Linked DNA regions of Schizosaccharomyces pombe. Changing the gene in region 2 together with the main gene of any one other region gives a genetic interaction. Each region holds a gene or a part of one and is shown on either strand. Other genes may lie near its edges.

Region 1 (7,534 bases), 1.2 Mb from region 2:
AACCTTCTGAGTATATTCCTTGTATATCCTCATTGAGCACTTAAAGTAAACATGTAGTCATTGTGACATTTTTTGGATTAAAAAGAAATTTGAAATCCTTAGTTAATGGATATAATACAAGACAATGCTAAAGCCTGCAATTCAAATAAAAACTCGCAATCAACATAAGCACATTAGTATTCCGAGGATCTGAAGATGCATTGCCCGCGGAATAGCCGACCACCATAGTGATACCACCAAAATAAAAAATGTCAAAGATGGGATCCTCAAGCATGGGTGAACTTCAGGATGGGATAACCCAAGAAGACTCCATTGAAAAAAAGTCAAAGAATGTTGCTTCACACGGAGAAAAAAGGAAAGTGAAGCGAAAAAAAGAAGACCTAAGTATGGATGGTTCAAATGATGGAGTGAAAGATTCACCAGACTCTAATGACGACTCTCAGAGTAAAAAAAAGAAAAAGAAAAAGTTAAAAAAATCTCAGCAACCGCTAAATGAAGAAAATTACCCTAGATTGCAAACTACGGAAAACAATCTTCAAAAACCCCTAAAAATTAGCGACCTACAAGAGCTTGTATTCTGGTGTTTAGCTGATGGACAGGCTCCTTCATGGGTTCTAGTGAGAAATAAACAAATGATTCATAGAGCAGTGATACTTTTAGTTCCTGGATTGGAGCCTAGTCAATTTGGGTTTCAACCCGTGCGCGGCAACAAGCACTCATTTTTGCTGCCGAATTTGCTAAATGAAAATGGCCCCATTCAATTACCTGATTTTTGTGAAGTGTTTGATCGCGCATGGCCTACGAGATCTCCTGGAGATCGATTTCGTGTCTTTTCTCCGGTGAATGCCTTTTTGCAATCTCCTCTGAGTAATGAACAAAAGAAGAAAAGAGATAAAGAAACACGTGCTATGGCTAGTTTTTCCAAACCATCTGATTACTTAATGAGTTATGAATCTTTCATTGAAGACGAATACCCATTACATCCTACTGTCATGAAGGGTGAAGAGGTTACTCAGCCTTCAGGATGGGTTGCTTCTGCAGGAGATTTTCATTCTCCTCCTATAAATCCCAAAATTCTTGCTATTGATTGCGAAATGGTGCGGACTGAGAACGGGTTAGAAATAGCCAGAGTAACTATTGTAGACATGAAAAGTGAGGTTATTTACGACGAATTTGTAAAACCAGAATCACCCGTCACTGATTATGTTACCCAGTATTCTGGCATAACTGAAGAAAAACTGAGAAATGTTACTACTGTTCTTTCCGATGTTCAATCTTACTTAAAAAAGACTGTGGACAACAATACCGTTCTTTTAGGCCATAGTCTAAATTCTGATCTTAATTGCTTAAAATTTACACACCCTCATATCATTGATACGGCAAACATTTATAATCACACTCGTGGTCCCCCTTCAAAACCATCGCTTAAATGGCTTGCAACGAAGTGGTTGAGGCGTGAGATACAAAAAGCGGGAGCTCTGGGGCACGATTCTGCAGAAGATGCTCTTGCTTGTGTGGATCTTCTAAAGTTGAAAGTTAAGAATGGACCTGCCTTTGGGTTGTTTAACCAAGACTTTGAGTCAATCTTTCATAGATTGTCACGACAGCAGCCAACTCCATTGATTGGTGCAATTGCCGACTATGGTAATCCGGAGTCGTGCATTGGCAAAGCGGCTCATAAAAGCGTTTCTTGTGCGAATGATGATGAAGTCGTAAGCGCTGTTGTAAGTCTTTCAGACATGCATAACTTCGTGTGGGGTCGTTTTCGCGAATTGGAGCATGCGGCTATGTGGAACGCTAATCGAAATACAAAACAAGAAAACAACTCTGATACTGATACAGAGAATGATTCGGTAGAAGAGGACCAAGTAACTAGCTATTCTTCTGCTTTAGAGCGTTTTAATCGAAGAATTCGTCTTTTATACGACTCCTTACCAAAAGGTTCTCTATTGCTTTTGTATACTGGTACTGGAAATCCCATCGAAATGTCAAAATTAAACGCTATTCGCCAACAATTTAGAAAAGAATACCAGACCAAAAAATGGGATGAGCTATCAGTAAAATGGACTGATGAAGAAAATATGAAATATATATCTGCTGTTGAAAACACAAGGAATGGATTGTCTTTTATGACGATCAAATAAGTGTGTTTTTATATTGCGATCAAGTAAATTTTGGGTAAAGGGTCTGCATTTTATTGGTCATAATAGATAGTTGAAGAAAACAATTGTTTTGGTTTATGTATATGTTGAAATTAAGAAAGGTAAACAGCTAGTCAGACACGTATATTAGGGGCGTTTTTATTATTGGATGCCACTAACGCTACCTTGATTGTAGATTAATACCTTTCCTTCTAGTAATGTGTTTCTAGAATGCGCTAACCTTTTCTACAATGCTAATTACGAAAATGAAACAAAATGCTGCCAATTTATTATTTTGGATATATTTTGAAAAATCATGATTTTTAGGATTCAATCTAATTTAAACGTTGCTGCATAAAGCATGGCTAGTAAAGTACAAGAACGTTAATTTGTCTTTCATAAGGATAAGGAATCGTAGACATCTTCGGATCATTCTTGCATTTTTTTATCCTCAGTTTCTTCAGATGATTTTTGAGCAGCAACTTCTTGACGTGCTCGTTCCTCCGCCATTGAAAGTTCCAAGGCTAACGCCAATTCAACGTCAAGATTAGGATCGACTCCATACTCAAATTGGTTTTGAGAAGCAACTACACCTTGTCCAATAGGGGATTGATTTACCAAATCTGAAAGTAACTGCGGGCTAGGTGGAATGCTGACAAGATGACTAAAATTGTTAATACTAGTAAAAAAAAGAAGCCAAAAATGTCCGAAAAATCCGTAGACTTACCAACTGTCACTTGAATTAGCAGCGTCAATGAAATGCTGCAAAGCTGATTCATTCTGAAGCTCACCAATGTGAATGATATCAATAGCAACATTATTCTTTTTCATACGCTTGGCTAGACGAATAAGATTTTTCTCGTCCTCAACAATAGGAGAACCTACAAATGCAACAATTCTTTGACGTTGAATTTTGTTTTCTCTATGCTTTAAGGCTAACTGCGCAATCTGTATACCATCGCCAAACTTTGCGTTTCCTCGGACAGGCAGGTCGTGCATTGCAGATAAGAATTTACCATAATCTCTGGTTAATGTAGAAAGAACTTGGGGACTAATATGATTAGAATTTCTGTAAAGTATTTTATAGCTGAACATAAAGTACCGTTCAAGCCGTAATATTAATCATATACCTATTATCACCAATTGTCATTAAACCACACATGTTCTCCGGATTATCATTGATCTTTTGATTGAAAATCATATGTACAGTATCCTTTTGAGCTTCAAACCTCGTAGGTATATAATCACCATTAATCATCCATTCTGAATTATCAATTCTGCCATGTTAGAGCAATAATTTAACAAAAATAAATTCTTACAGAATCATCGTTGCTTCTAACACCATCTTGAAGACCTATAATTTAAAACTTAATGCGAAGAAATTTGAAAGAACGCTTGGTAGATTACAGAAGATGTGTTGCAAAGTGAACTAGACAAGGTATTACTACTCACCTTCTCTAGTCATTCTCGGATAACGATATGTAACGCATCACAAAATGAAACATCGAAAAACATGGTGATACACAATTCATTTCCTGTTCGAATCCACAGGTTCTCTAATTTCTTACAGCACGCGTAAATAATCGAAAGCCAACACCAAATGCGTGAAATTGTTATAATACAAGTGTAGGTAATAAACGCTTTTTAAAAAATTTTATATATTTACTGAAGCGGAAAACTGGAATTTAAAGGGTACTGCTGAGATACTAATTTTTTGGAGATACATGCAGAGCTGTTGGTATAACATATTAGAGGCCTCAGCAGGCAACTTGACTGAATCTCGTAGTCAAATTATTACTTTTTTTTTCCTTTTTTAATTAATAGAAGGTAATATTTTTAAAAGCGATAAAGCCAGGGACCTTCAGACGTTTGAGAAGTATTTAATTTTCTATATAAACATTTCTTGTTTTTAAATTACTTTAAATACTTGGATTAAGTTTTGCTCTGGTTACAGGGCGGCCAGCAATAGAGCATTGCTAGAAAGATTTTAACTCGCCAGGAATGTTTTTGGAAACTTTGATTCATGGCGTAACGTTTTGTGTACCGTTTTTTAGCAAGTCTGCTAGAATTCACACTTTATCAAAGGATGTTTTTCAACAAAGGAAATTCCCAGGAAATACCTTGTGGGCTGCTGCCCTCAATCGCTTCACTGCATATTTATTTGCTTCCAAAGAACTTTCGTCAAAACAAGCATACTTAGCCCAAGACTTTGTCAATGTCTGCAAGGATGCCAGTGTCTTTCAGAATGTATACTATTATGAGTTAAAAAAGAATATCCTTACAGATTTAGGATTTTCTGACTTAAAAAACTCTGATAAATCATTGGCTCTTTCAAAATCTTCTTCTACTTTTGACCTTCAGAAAATAAAAAAGATCCATGATTGTTTACTCTCAGAGTATCGGAAGTATGTACGATATCAAGAGCGAATAGAAGAAACAAGACCTGACTTACAAAAGCAATTAACAGATTTAAAAAATCCAATTGAGTGGTATCCAGGAGCGAGAAAACTCAGAAGGCATATCATTATGCATGTCGGCCCAACGAATAGCGGGAAAACACATAGGGCTTTAGAAAGACTTAAGACTTGCAAGAAAGGTATATTTGCTGGCCCTTTAAGACTTTTGGCTCACGAAATCTATAATCGCTTGCAAGCAAACGGAATAGCTTGTAATCTTTACACAGGGGAAGAGATTAGAAATGATTATCCTTTCCCTCAGGTTGTTTCATGTACTGTAGAAATGTGCAACTTATCTACTACTTTTGATGTTGCAGTCATTGATGAAATCCAAATGATGGCTGATCCTTCACGGGGATATGCTTGGACTCAATGCTTGCTTGGCTTGCAGGCTAAGGAAATTCATTTATGCGGAGAAGAAAGTGTTGTTAAATTAGTGCGTTCAATTGCTAAAATGACCCAAGATGATTTTACTGTTTACAGATACGAACGGTTAAATCCTCTCCACGTTGCAGAAAAGAGCTTAAATGGAAAGTTAAGTGAACTCAAAGACGGGGATTGTGTTGTGGCTTTTTCAAGGAAAAACATTTTTACTTTGAAGTCTAAAATTGATCAAGCATTAGGAAAAAAATCTGCCGTTATTTATGGTTCACTGCCTCCTGAAGTCCGTAATCAACAAGCAAGCTTATTTAATTCAAAGAGTTCTGATGAAAATATTTTGCTGGCCTCCGATGCCATTGGTATGGGTCTCAACTTAGGCGTAAAGCGTATTGTTTTCAGCGATTTAAAAAAGTTTAGTGGAGTTTCCACTATAGACATCCCTGTACCACAAATTAAGCAGATAGCAGGAAGAGCTGGCCGACATAATCCCAATGGATCTAAGCAAAGTGCTGGAATAGTAACTACCCTATATCAAAAAGATTTTGCGAAATTAAATCGCGCCATGAATCTTCCTACAAAGAACTTATTCAATGCTTGTATTGGAGCTAAGGACGATTTATTCTTTAGATATTTATCACTATTCTCTGATGACATTCCTCAAAAGCTAATTTTCGATCGTTACTTTAAGTTAGCGAAAACGACTACTCCATTTGTTGTGTCGGAAGGAGCACTAAGCACATTCATTATTGAATATTTAGACCACATAAAAGGTTTAACCATTAAAGATAAAATCAAATTGTTAGGGTGCCCAGTGTTAAAGCATTCTAAATACGCACCACTATTTATTCGGGAAATCGGATGTGTTATCGCTCAAGGAAAACGTCTGCAAATATATGATTTGAAGTCTGTACCTTTGGAAATATTAGAACGCGGAATTCCAACCACTGAAACCGAGTTACAACAACTAGAGCAGCTTCACAAATTAATAGTAGCATACATGTGGGCTAGTATACGATATCCAGCTATCCTGCAAAATGGAGCAGCCGAAAAAACCAAGGCAATAGCAGAGGCTTTTCTAATCAAAGGAATATCGAAATTACAAAAGTAACTAAAATGAAATAAAAGGTTACAAATTAGTCTCTATTCCTTCAAACTTTAAGTATCATTAATATATATCTAGGAGATACTTTAATTATGAGAATTTTTTTTTTTTTTAAGAAAGACGACCAGCATCTAATCCATTCTTTGTACAGAATTACCATCCAAATCGTAGTTGGGAAGGGTGAAAAACAGGAGGTTGCCAATCTGCCAACAAATCTCCATTGATCCTTCTTCTTTTTTTGTTCTTCAATCTTTCGTATTGTTGCTCAATTCCATCTGAAATACAGATAATAAATTGACCTTTGTAATATTTAAGCATATTTAGTGCTTGAAGTGTATGTAGCACATCATTAGTAGTCATTGAAGTTTTGTTGGCTAATTCGTCAATAGTGGTTTCAGTTCGCATTCCAAGCACAAGGTTGATGATTTGTTCAGCCCAATACGCTCGATAACTAATCAACCCCAAATCAGAAAGTGGTTTTTCAGGTGAGCCGTGTTTGTGCTCACGCTTGGTCAATTCATAAGAAAATTGTATGAGTAACTTGCCATAACCATGTCTTTGGTATTGAGGTAAAGTTAAGATACAAGCAAGGTTGTAATTTTCGGAGGACTCTTTTTCTTTTGAGAAATATCCTACCAAGTGACATCCATATTCATCGCGGCGACACATACAGTAAAACAAAAAGGGATCAACATCATAGTAAAGCATTTTGTGATCCAGAAAAAGTTTGGACAAAAGACAAATATTCCTACACCATGTACGTTGCTTTCTTCCATCAATTTCAAAAAAGGATATATAGTCATCACGGTATATTTCATTTCCGGGTGGATGCTGCAATGTACATTTTTCGCGGTGTCTTTGAAATTGTCGCTCAGATCCGTAATAGCAGAAACAAAAACTGCAAATATAAACTATATCTACTTCCGAAAATTCTTTAGGGTACGGTGAGAAGTACCAAGGTTCAATTTCATGATCTCCTATGCAAATTTTGTTTATATTACGAATTCGAGCTATTTCGTGAGGATTTTGAACCATTGAGCCACTGAACCGTAACCTTTCTACTTCTTGTTCTTTTGAAAGACTTTCGGGCTTGTGGTCTTCCTCCAATAACGGTAAACTTTCATTCCCGGCATTTGATCCATGATCACTTTCTCCAGAAGGGGTGGATGGTTCAGGTTTCTCCGTAGAAGGCGTCGAAGGCTCAGTTTTTGAAGGTGCTGTAATCGATCGTCGTCTGTCAACAGCTTTTGGACGTTTTGAGGATTTTCCTTTTCCATGAGCCTTTTTTGGCTTCTCCGGCGGTGGATACTCAATTCCTTTCGATAAATCAATATTATCTATTGTAATCCATTCATCTAAACGTTTATTGTAGTCATTATAGTGTACATAGTAGACGACGCCTCTAGTTCTTTTTTGAATCATTAAAATCTCCGCCTTTCGATATTCTCCATCCT
Region 2 (8,080 bases):
GGCTGGAAGATACATATTCCAATCCGTCATCAATGCGGTTTGACATCTGTTCTGCTTCAACAGTTTCAGTGTATAATTTCGATATTAAAGCACCATTGTCTACTAAAGTTCTATCCCAGTCAGAAACCTGGTCACAAAGCTTATTAAAAACTTCAGTTTGCGTAGTCAAATCAGTAGACCATTTATTAAGGATTTCCTGAAGAGTTTTGTGTTTGATAGAAGATGGAGGAGGCTCAGAAGGAGTAGTGGAGGCAGTAGCGCCCGGCTTGGCGCTGGGATCGGCAGGTTTATTACCAAAAAGGGGACCGGTTTTTGAAGTAGATGTTGTAGTATCAGTTGCAGGTTTACCAAATGAAAATCCAGAGCTAGTCTGATTCGCACCTTCTGCAGGTTTCGTATTGTTCGAAAGTGGCGGAGCTGAAGTTGCTGTTGTGCTAGTATTTTCCGTAGGTTTTGAAGTGTTTCCAAAAGAAAATGTTGGCTTATTATCACCAGTTGAAGTAGCCGGTTTTGTAAAAGCTGAGTTGGGAGCAGTAGGTTTATTAGTATCCTCTGTAGTTGCAGGTTTTCCAAAACTAAATCCAGTACCAGCTGAAGATGTGGTGGTAGTACCTTTGTCCGTTGCGGTTGAAGCTGCTTGGCCCGCAGGCTTACCAAAAGAGAAACCAGTAGTTGGAGCAGAACCAGTGTTAGATGCAGCAGGCTTTGAGTCATTGGTTCCCGTAATGGAGCTACTGGGGGTGACAGTAGTGTTAGATCCTGGAGCTGAAGTAGTTGCAGGCTTTCCGAAGCTAAAGCCTGAATTAGCAGTGGTTGAAGTGGATGCATTATTAGTAGAGCCTAAACTAGCAGGTTTTCCAAAGCTAAAACCTCCGCTTCCAGTAGCAGGTGTCGTAGAAGTAGAAGAAGCTGGAGGGGCATTGCTTGTAGTCCCTGTAGCAGCAGGCTTCCCAAACAAAGAACCAGTACTAGCGGCTGCCGGAGTCGTCGTATTAGTCGTAGAAGCGGGTTTACCGAAATTAAAAGAATTATTTGAACTTCCAAAATTAAAAGTACTACCTGAAGGATTAGTAGTTGCTGCACCTGTAGCAGAAGAAGCGGTGTTTTTACTTTTATCACCAGTAGAGTTAGCAGACCCGGTACTTCCTAAACCTCCGAAAAGAGGTTTAGCCCCAGCAGTATTGTTGGTATTAGTAGACCCAAACGAAAAAGGTGAACTCGTTGATGCATTTGTTGAGTTGCCTGTAGTCGCTGCTTTACCAAAAGAAAAGGTACTGGGAGCACTGGTGTTACTCGCGTTATTAGAACCAAATAAGCCTCCAGACGGCGCTGTAGAAGAGGTATTATTATTTGTGTTTCCAAACAAGCCAGTCGCCGCAGGAGTTGCTGCTCCTTGCGCAGCTGAATTCGGCTGCGCAGGTTTCCCAAATGAAAACCCTGAATTCTGGTTATTACCTGGGTTGAAAGCTATTGATTTTGTTAGCAAATTTTAATAAATTCCAAGGGACCAGCTTTGCCGCCTCTTACACTTACACATTGATTTGGGTCTTGCTGAAAGTTGTATCAGGACAGTGAAATGTTTATGGCGTTCGGTCACAACTCGGTGAATTCGGAGACGTCGGTAACCAAAACGGAGAACTGGGTCACCATTCGGAGTTTTTGGGACCTGAAGAAAGGGTCCACTGAAGCTCACCGAAGATACTTCTTTTACATAAGAGCGTCATCGAACGAGTGGAAAATACCTAACCAAACCCAACAACATGACCAATATATCGTTGACTATTAAGGCGGCAAATGATCAAAAGTACGCAGTTACAGTTGATAGTGAATCTTCTGTACTTGCATTAAAGGAAGCCATTGCGCCTGTAGCTGATATAGAGAAGGAACGACAAAGACTGATTTACGCTGGTCGCGTTCTGAAAGATGAAGAGTCATTAAAAACATACAAAATTCAAGATGGACATAGTATACATTTGGTAAAAACCTTAGGACAAAATCCTGCAGCCGCCGCCACGAATGTATCGGACCGCACTCAACAAGTTCCAACGAATATTCAAGCAGGTCAGGGTGCTAATAATCCTCTTGCCAATTTAACTAGCGCTCGTTACGCTGGATTTAATATCCCTATGCCATCAGCATCTATGTTTGGTCCTAATCCTGAGAATCCTGTTCCACCCTCGACCGAAGAGCTTGCCAATATGTTGTCTAATCCTATGGTGCAGTCTTCTATTAATGAGATGTTTTCAAATCCTCAAATGTTGGATATGATTATTAATAGCAGCCCGCATCTTCGTAATGCACCTCCTTATGTCCGTCAAATGATGCAGTCCCCTGAGTTCCGTCGCGCGATGACTGATCCCGACACAATGCGCCAAATGGCTCAACTACATCAACAAATGGGTGCTGCCGGTATTGACCCTATGTCCTTAATGGGGGGTGGTCTAGGAGGAGCTGGCTTAGGCGGTTTAGGTGGAGCTGGTTTAGGTGGATTTGGAGGGGCTAATAATGCTACAGCTGGTATTGCAGGTGCCGCACCTGTTGATCAAACTGCTGCTGCCAACACCATTCAAAATTTATTAAATAACTTGGGAGGAGCTGGCTTCGGTGCTGGTTTGGGAGACGCCGGTTTGGGAGCTGGCCTTGGGGGAGCTGCCTCTCCTCCAGCTCCTGCTCAAGATACTCGCCCTCCAGAAGAGCGTTATGCTGAGCAATTGAGCCAGCTTAATGAAATGGGCTTTGTGGATTTCGAGCGTAACGTTCAAGCACTAAGAAGAAGTGGAGGAAACGTGCAAGGTGCTATTGAATCTTTGTTGAGTGATCTTTAATTCCTTTGTTCGTTTCTAGAATATATCAATCAGGCTTATTGGTGTTCATATATTTCAAGGATAATACCCTTTGTATCAAGACTTCCCTCTTCCCTTTTTCCTTTTGTAATAAAATTTATACGGCCCAATCTTTTGGTGATATTTAGATTATTATGCCATGCTTGCAAGTTTTGCCAGATTTACCTGAACAAGACTTTTAGTGACTTTACCTGGAAAGTCATCGTACTCTGTTTTATCGCGATGATCATATTAATCGATTTGAATGAATATGTTTAGTCGTTTAATTTAAGTACGATGACGAATTCTATATATGCTTCTCCTAGATAGAAAGCTTACTTGTTGTGTAAAAATAAGTTTTTTCTAAATTGTCAGTTTACTTACGCTTCAGTGATTTATAATGTTCAATAAACGATAGCAGTTTTAAGATACTAAAAAAAAAGAAAAATACGTCTGTTTAACATTACAACTTAATTATGCTTATGAAAGTTGAATTTCAAATAATAAAATGATATAGACAAAATTGTATTAAGATAGTTTATCCTTAGTCCCAAAAACTAAATTCCAAAGTTCCGTCCGATGACAAGCGTATAGTTCAGCAAGTTTAAAAATCAAAAGTGACAATGGGCAAGAAATACTTTGAAACATCCCAGTATCGACGCTTTGCGCCTTTCCATTCCTCGTCTTTACTACTTACGGGCATGGATTCGTATGTACATTGAAGCCCGAACGATACAAGATCGATGGGGACCAATTTTTTGTAAACATCGTAAAATGTTTGGTTGTCGGCGCCCAATCCGTTAAAAAAGGAGAACTTGGAATCTGTTTCAGGATCTAAGAGACCAACAACTGAATCAAAGAAGTTTCGAAGATCTTCGTAGCTTTCTGCGAAAGCATCATAGTAGATGCCATCGAAAACGTATTTAGACGCAATGTCGTTAATAGCGTTCTCCCAAGTTGTCTCATATACAATCACATTTTCACGATCCATCCAACCGTTTTTACGCATATGTTTCAGAACGTCCGGATGGGGCTCAATGATCACATGAAGCGAAGGCTCCTTTTCCTGAAGGAACGTATCTATTATTCCAAGACCAAAGCCGACATTCAAAACACGGCGGCCCTTGGTTGGTGCAATAATTTCAGCAGAACGATGCATTATTTTTCGTTCCCAACTCATCATAACAGCGTTTGCATCACTATCCAAAAGGCTTGAACTGTCTTCTGTAGGTTGCGTATAGGAGAGTGCACTTTGCAAGTATTTTTCGTTAGTATCCAATTGTTCGTTTGTAAGTTCCTTCCTCTCTAAGAGAGAAAGTAATAGCTCTGATCGAACTCCAGCATCCACGATTGTTTCGTACAAGCGCAATAAATTCCTACGACGTGCAATGCATCCAGGAGTTTCGTTAGCTCTATCAATACCATTCCAGACTCCACCATTAGAAAGGATCCATTTCGTTACTTCAATAGCTTGAACCTCTGTCTCCTTCTCAGCGTATGAGGCTATAAAATGTAAAGCATTTTTGCCAGACTCGATATCGATAGCTGAAGTAACTGCCCCCTGATCCACTAGATTTTGAATTTTTTTTAAATCTAGTTGTTTGGAGGCTTCCAAGAGACTTAAGGACTCTTGAGATTCTTGGAATTCCACCGATTCATTCACTAGTGGAGCGTCCATTTTAATATGAAGATGGCAGGTATTTTTTACTCGTAGCTTTAAGCTGAATGCTTTGCTGGACTTAGAAATTAAGGGATTTTTTTGTTAAACAATAAGACATTTTAGATACCGTTGTAATCATTTACATAACGAAGATGAAATAAAAATAAAAAATTCTTCTTTGTTCTATCAAGTGTTTCAAAGACATAGAATGTACTCATGAGCTATAGGATAAAGAAAACTAGCAAGGAAATGGCATTAAATAATTAAAATTATTCTACCTCGATATATTGTACAAATAACCCATCTGAAACATGCAAAAAGAATAGCATACCGTTGATTTATTTTAACTTCGGCGATGTAGTATTACTAAGGTGTGCTTATGCAAGTTAGAGAAAGAAAGAGTTAGTTTATCATACACAGTGTTTATGTTAACTATAGTGATAAAACTTTTTAGATTTGTTAGATGATAATTAAAAAGCATTAGAAACTTCAAAACGACAAATCGGGAGAGGAAGCATATAGAATAGCAGTTTGTTTTAAAAAAACCAATTCAAATTACATGCTGCCATGAGTGTAGAGATCTAAGCTCCAACAACAAAATGAGTACGGTAGAGGGGAAATGTTTTAAAAATGAAACAGATCCAGAAGAAGAACCTTTTTGACGTAGCTGTTTTGGATTATAGGCTCAAGGGAGGTTCAAAAATTCAAGTTTTTAATTATGATTATAGAGGGAAATATTAATAGTAAAGAAATTAACGAGAACAGTAACCACCGTCAACAATAATGTCACTACCTGTGCAGTAGGAACTAGCATCGGAAGCAAGGTATAAGTAAGCACCGGGAAGCTCATCAGGTAGACCAATACGGGCTTGAGGAGTATACTCCTTCCATTTCTTACGCAAGTTTTCATCAGCGTACAGAGTCAAATCTGTGTCAATGTAGCCAGGAGACACGGAGTTGACACGAGCGAAAGGGGCCCACTCAACGGCAAGAGCGCGAGCCAGATGTTTGACAGCAGCCTTGGTAGCATGATAAGAAGCCCATTGTTGAGGCCAATTGGCAATGTGACCACTCATACTAGCCGTGAAGATCAAACTGCCCTTTCCTTGCTTCTTAAAATGATGGCCAGCAGCCTGTGCAGTATAATAAGCACCGTTCAGGTTTATGCCCACGACCTTGGTCCAGATGTCTTCATTCTTATCTTCCAAGGATAAGTGGGGAATCGCAATACCAGCATTAGCAATCATTACATCCAAACGACCACCCAATTCCTCAACTGCCTGGTTGGTGGTTTCAATTACAGCACTACGGTTCTCAATGGGGCAAGAATAAGCCTTGGCTTGAACACCATGTTTGTCGCGTAATTCAGCAGCATACTCAAGAGCCTTTTTGTTACGACCGTACAAAAGACCAACATTAGATCCAGCGGCAGCGAATGCTTTAGCAATCGAAAATCCGATACCGCCTGAACCACCGGTGATGAGAGTGGTTTTACCTTTAAGAGAAAACATAGAAGTCATTATGAGATATATGAAAAAAACCGAACGATGTAATAATTATTAAGAAAAAAAAAACCCCACAAAAATATTTTAGCGAACAAAAAGTGGTAGTAAAATTTATGAACACCGGTTTAATAGCTTTTGATTAGATGAAAAGCAAAAATTTTTTTCCGAAAGATTTTTAATAGTAAGAGAAGGCACTCTTGGCAACCAGAAAGAAAAATTGCTTTGTGGCAATGGACCCAAGGCTTTTATACAAAAAATTTCCTCTTTTTGACACACAGAAAGAGCAGTCCTAAATAGTGTTGTTGGAAAAAATATATGTGTAAATAAACGATTTGCAAAGGAGGAAAAAAATAGCGCAAATAGACAAAACGGTCGTTTTACTCGAGTGACACTAGTAGATCCATCAAACCGATAATATCGGGTATTGTGATGGCTGAGTGGAAAGTTTGAATGAATAACTGCGAGAAACTAGGCTACACACATAGGAGTCAAAATAGTGTAACCCGCAAAATATAGAAATCCAATTCATAAATGTGAGAATGACAATTCATTTATTATAAATTGGAAACTCATTTCATCTTTTCTTTTTTTTTCGTGAAATACTACGAGTTTCTCTTAAATCCGGGGAGAAAGTACGGATAAAATCCCATGATTAAGAAGGGGAGCGTCGGACGACAAAGGTAGCTTAAATTAACAAATGGCCAAGTGATTTTGGCCATTTGGGGTATGATTTCGCTTCTCTCGATCAAGATGCAAGCGATTAAAGAACTGGACTCGGAAGAGGAACCAAAAGTTGGCGAGTTCTATAAGGGCAACACAATTTCGTTTTGCAAAAATTCGCTTGAAAATGATACTCAATTACCTCAAATTCTCTTCTGCATTAATCCTAAATCCATCCGAAATTTTCTTTTTCCACCCATAGCAATATCAGATCCGAAAGAAGCTCAAAATCACTGTTCGTCTTACTATTATATTAAGTACCGGTATTATATTGTACAGTCAAGATGCGGGATGATGGGAAGAATGTCTTTTTAAATATTATCTAAAAAAGGTAATAGTTACATGTTAATAACTATATATATATATTTCCAGACTATACTAGTAAAGTAACGGTTGAAAAAATGTGTAAGTAGAAGAACTATTAAACTTAATTGCGTTCAGTAGTTTCTGCATGGTTTTTAACTAAAACCATGTTCGATATTGTTAACTATTAAATATACTTATTCAAAAAAAAAGAACACCAGATTCTCCTGTCACGCATCTAGGTTTCCAGTTTTTCATCTGTTCCCTCATTAACGTTCTACCAGTTGCCCGCATTGTTCCAGAAGATCAACCCAAATCTGAACGAGATGCAATAGCCTGGAGACTACCAGAGTCTTCATTTTACCCGACCGAGATCGTTTCCATGGTCGGAATCGAACACTGGAATACTTGAGACTTGGCGAAAAATGAGTATTATACAAGGGAAGAAAAGAAGAAGAAAATAAAAGGATAATTTATGTTTTACGGCAATAAAATAATGAATTAATAAGCAAGAAGTATTAAAATGGACTTTACCACTAATGAGGTTCTGTTTAGTAGGTTAGTAGTCTGTAAAAATTTGACAAGAAAAAATTTTCCGTTTCTTCAATTGAAGGGGAGCTCCATTTTAAGATTTGAATGGTCTGAAGAAATGTATAGATTGTATATATGGTTGTTACCGTACCGAAAAGACTATAATGAAAAGTTTAAGGGAATTCTAATAAATCCTTCTATTTTTCTTCTTGGCTGTCATCATGTTCAAATATGCAGTTTTCCGAACAACCTTGTATTTTTCATGGGAAAATGCGATTTGTTTCGTTTTTGTTAGCTTTGTTTGAATACCATTTTTTAACTTATGCGATACTTTCTAAACGGAGTTCACTTTTTAAATTAATCTATATCAACTGAGCCGTTCAATTCAATCCCTTTTTTTATATCAGCTTGTAAACAAACGTTTCAGGAAATGAGAAAGTTCAAAAAGCGTTAAACAGTGAATGCTTGTATGTTGAGCTTTGACTTGTTTGCAAATGTTTAATTGTCGAAATTCATCATCTGTATCTGTCCAAAGTTGT

Evidence for each region. A genetic interaction does not mean that the proteins touch.
Region 1: mutations in dsk2 (region 2) and rpn10 are lethal when combined (synthetic lethality), as found in Schizosaccharomyces pombe (one study listed by BioGRID).

Annotation. Positions count from the first base shown.
Region 1 is NC_003424.3:4,555,151-4,562,684, forward strand, and holds rpn10 (19S proteasome regulatory subunit Rpn10), read right to left. Parts: upstream 3,547-7,534; 5' UTR 3,487-3,546; coding exon 3,461-3,486; intron 3,419-3,460; coding exon 3,272-3,418; intron 3,215-3,271; exon of another isoform or gene 3,193-3,214; coding exon 2,869-3,192; exon of another isoform or gene 2,806-2,868; coding exon 2,571-2,805; 3' UTR 2,401-2,570; downstream 1-2,400. Other genes in the region: rex1 (putative ribonuclease H70), read left to right, coding at 273-2,144; ATP-dependent RNA helicase Rpm2, read left to right, coding at 4,143-6,086; histone acetyltransferase, KAT5 family Mst1, read right to left, coding at 6,234-7,534. UniProt on the Schizosaccharomyces pombe protein: Protects ubiquitin chains against dissambly by deubiquitinating enzymes thereby promoting protein degradation.
Region 2 is NC_003424.3:3,367,983-3,376,062, forward strand, and holds dsk2 (UBA domain protein Dph1/Dsk2), read left to right. Parts: upstream 1-1,744; 5' UTR 1,745-1,760; coding exon 1,761-2,825; 3' UTR 2,826-3,402; downstream 3,403-8,080. Other genes in the region: nucleoporin Nsp1, read right to left, coding at 1-1,467, 1,534-1,537; rmt2 (N-methyltransferase), read right to left, coding at 3,427-4,500; SPOM_SPAC8E11.10 (sorbose reductase), read right to left, coding at 5,235-6,002; SPOM_SPAC8E11.12 (uncharacterized protein), read left to right, coding at 6,714-7,022; SPOM_SPAC8E11.08C (uncharacterized protein), read left to right, coding at 7,534-7,836. UniProt on the Schizosaccharomyces pombe protein: Protects ubiquitin chains against dissambly by deubiquitinating enzymes thereby promoting protein degradation.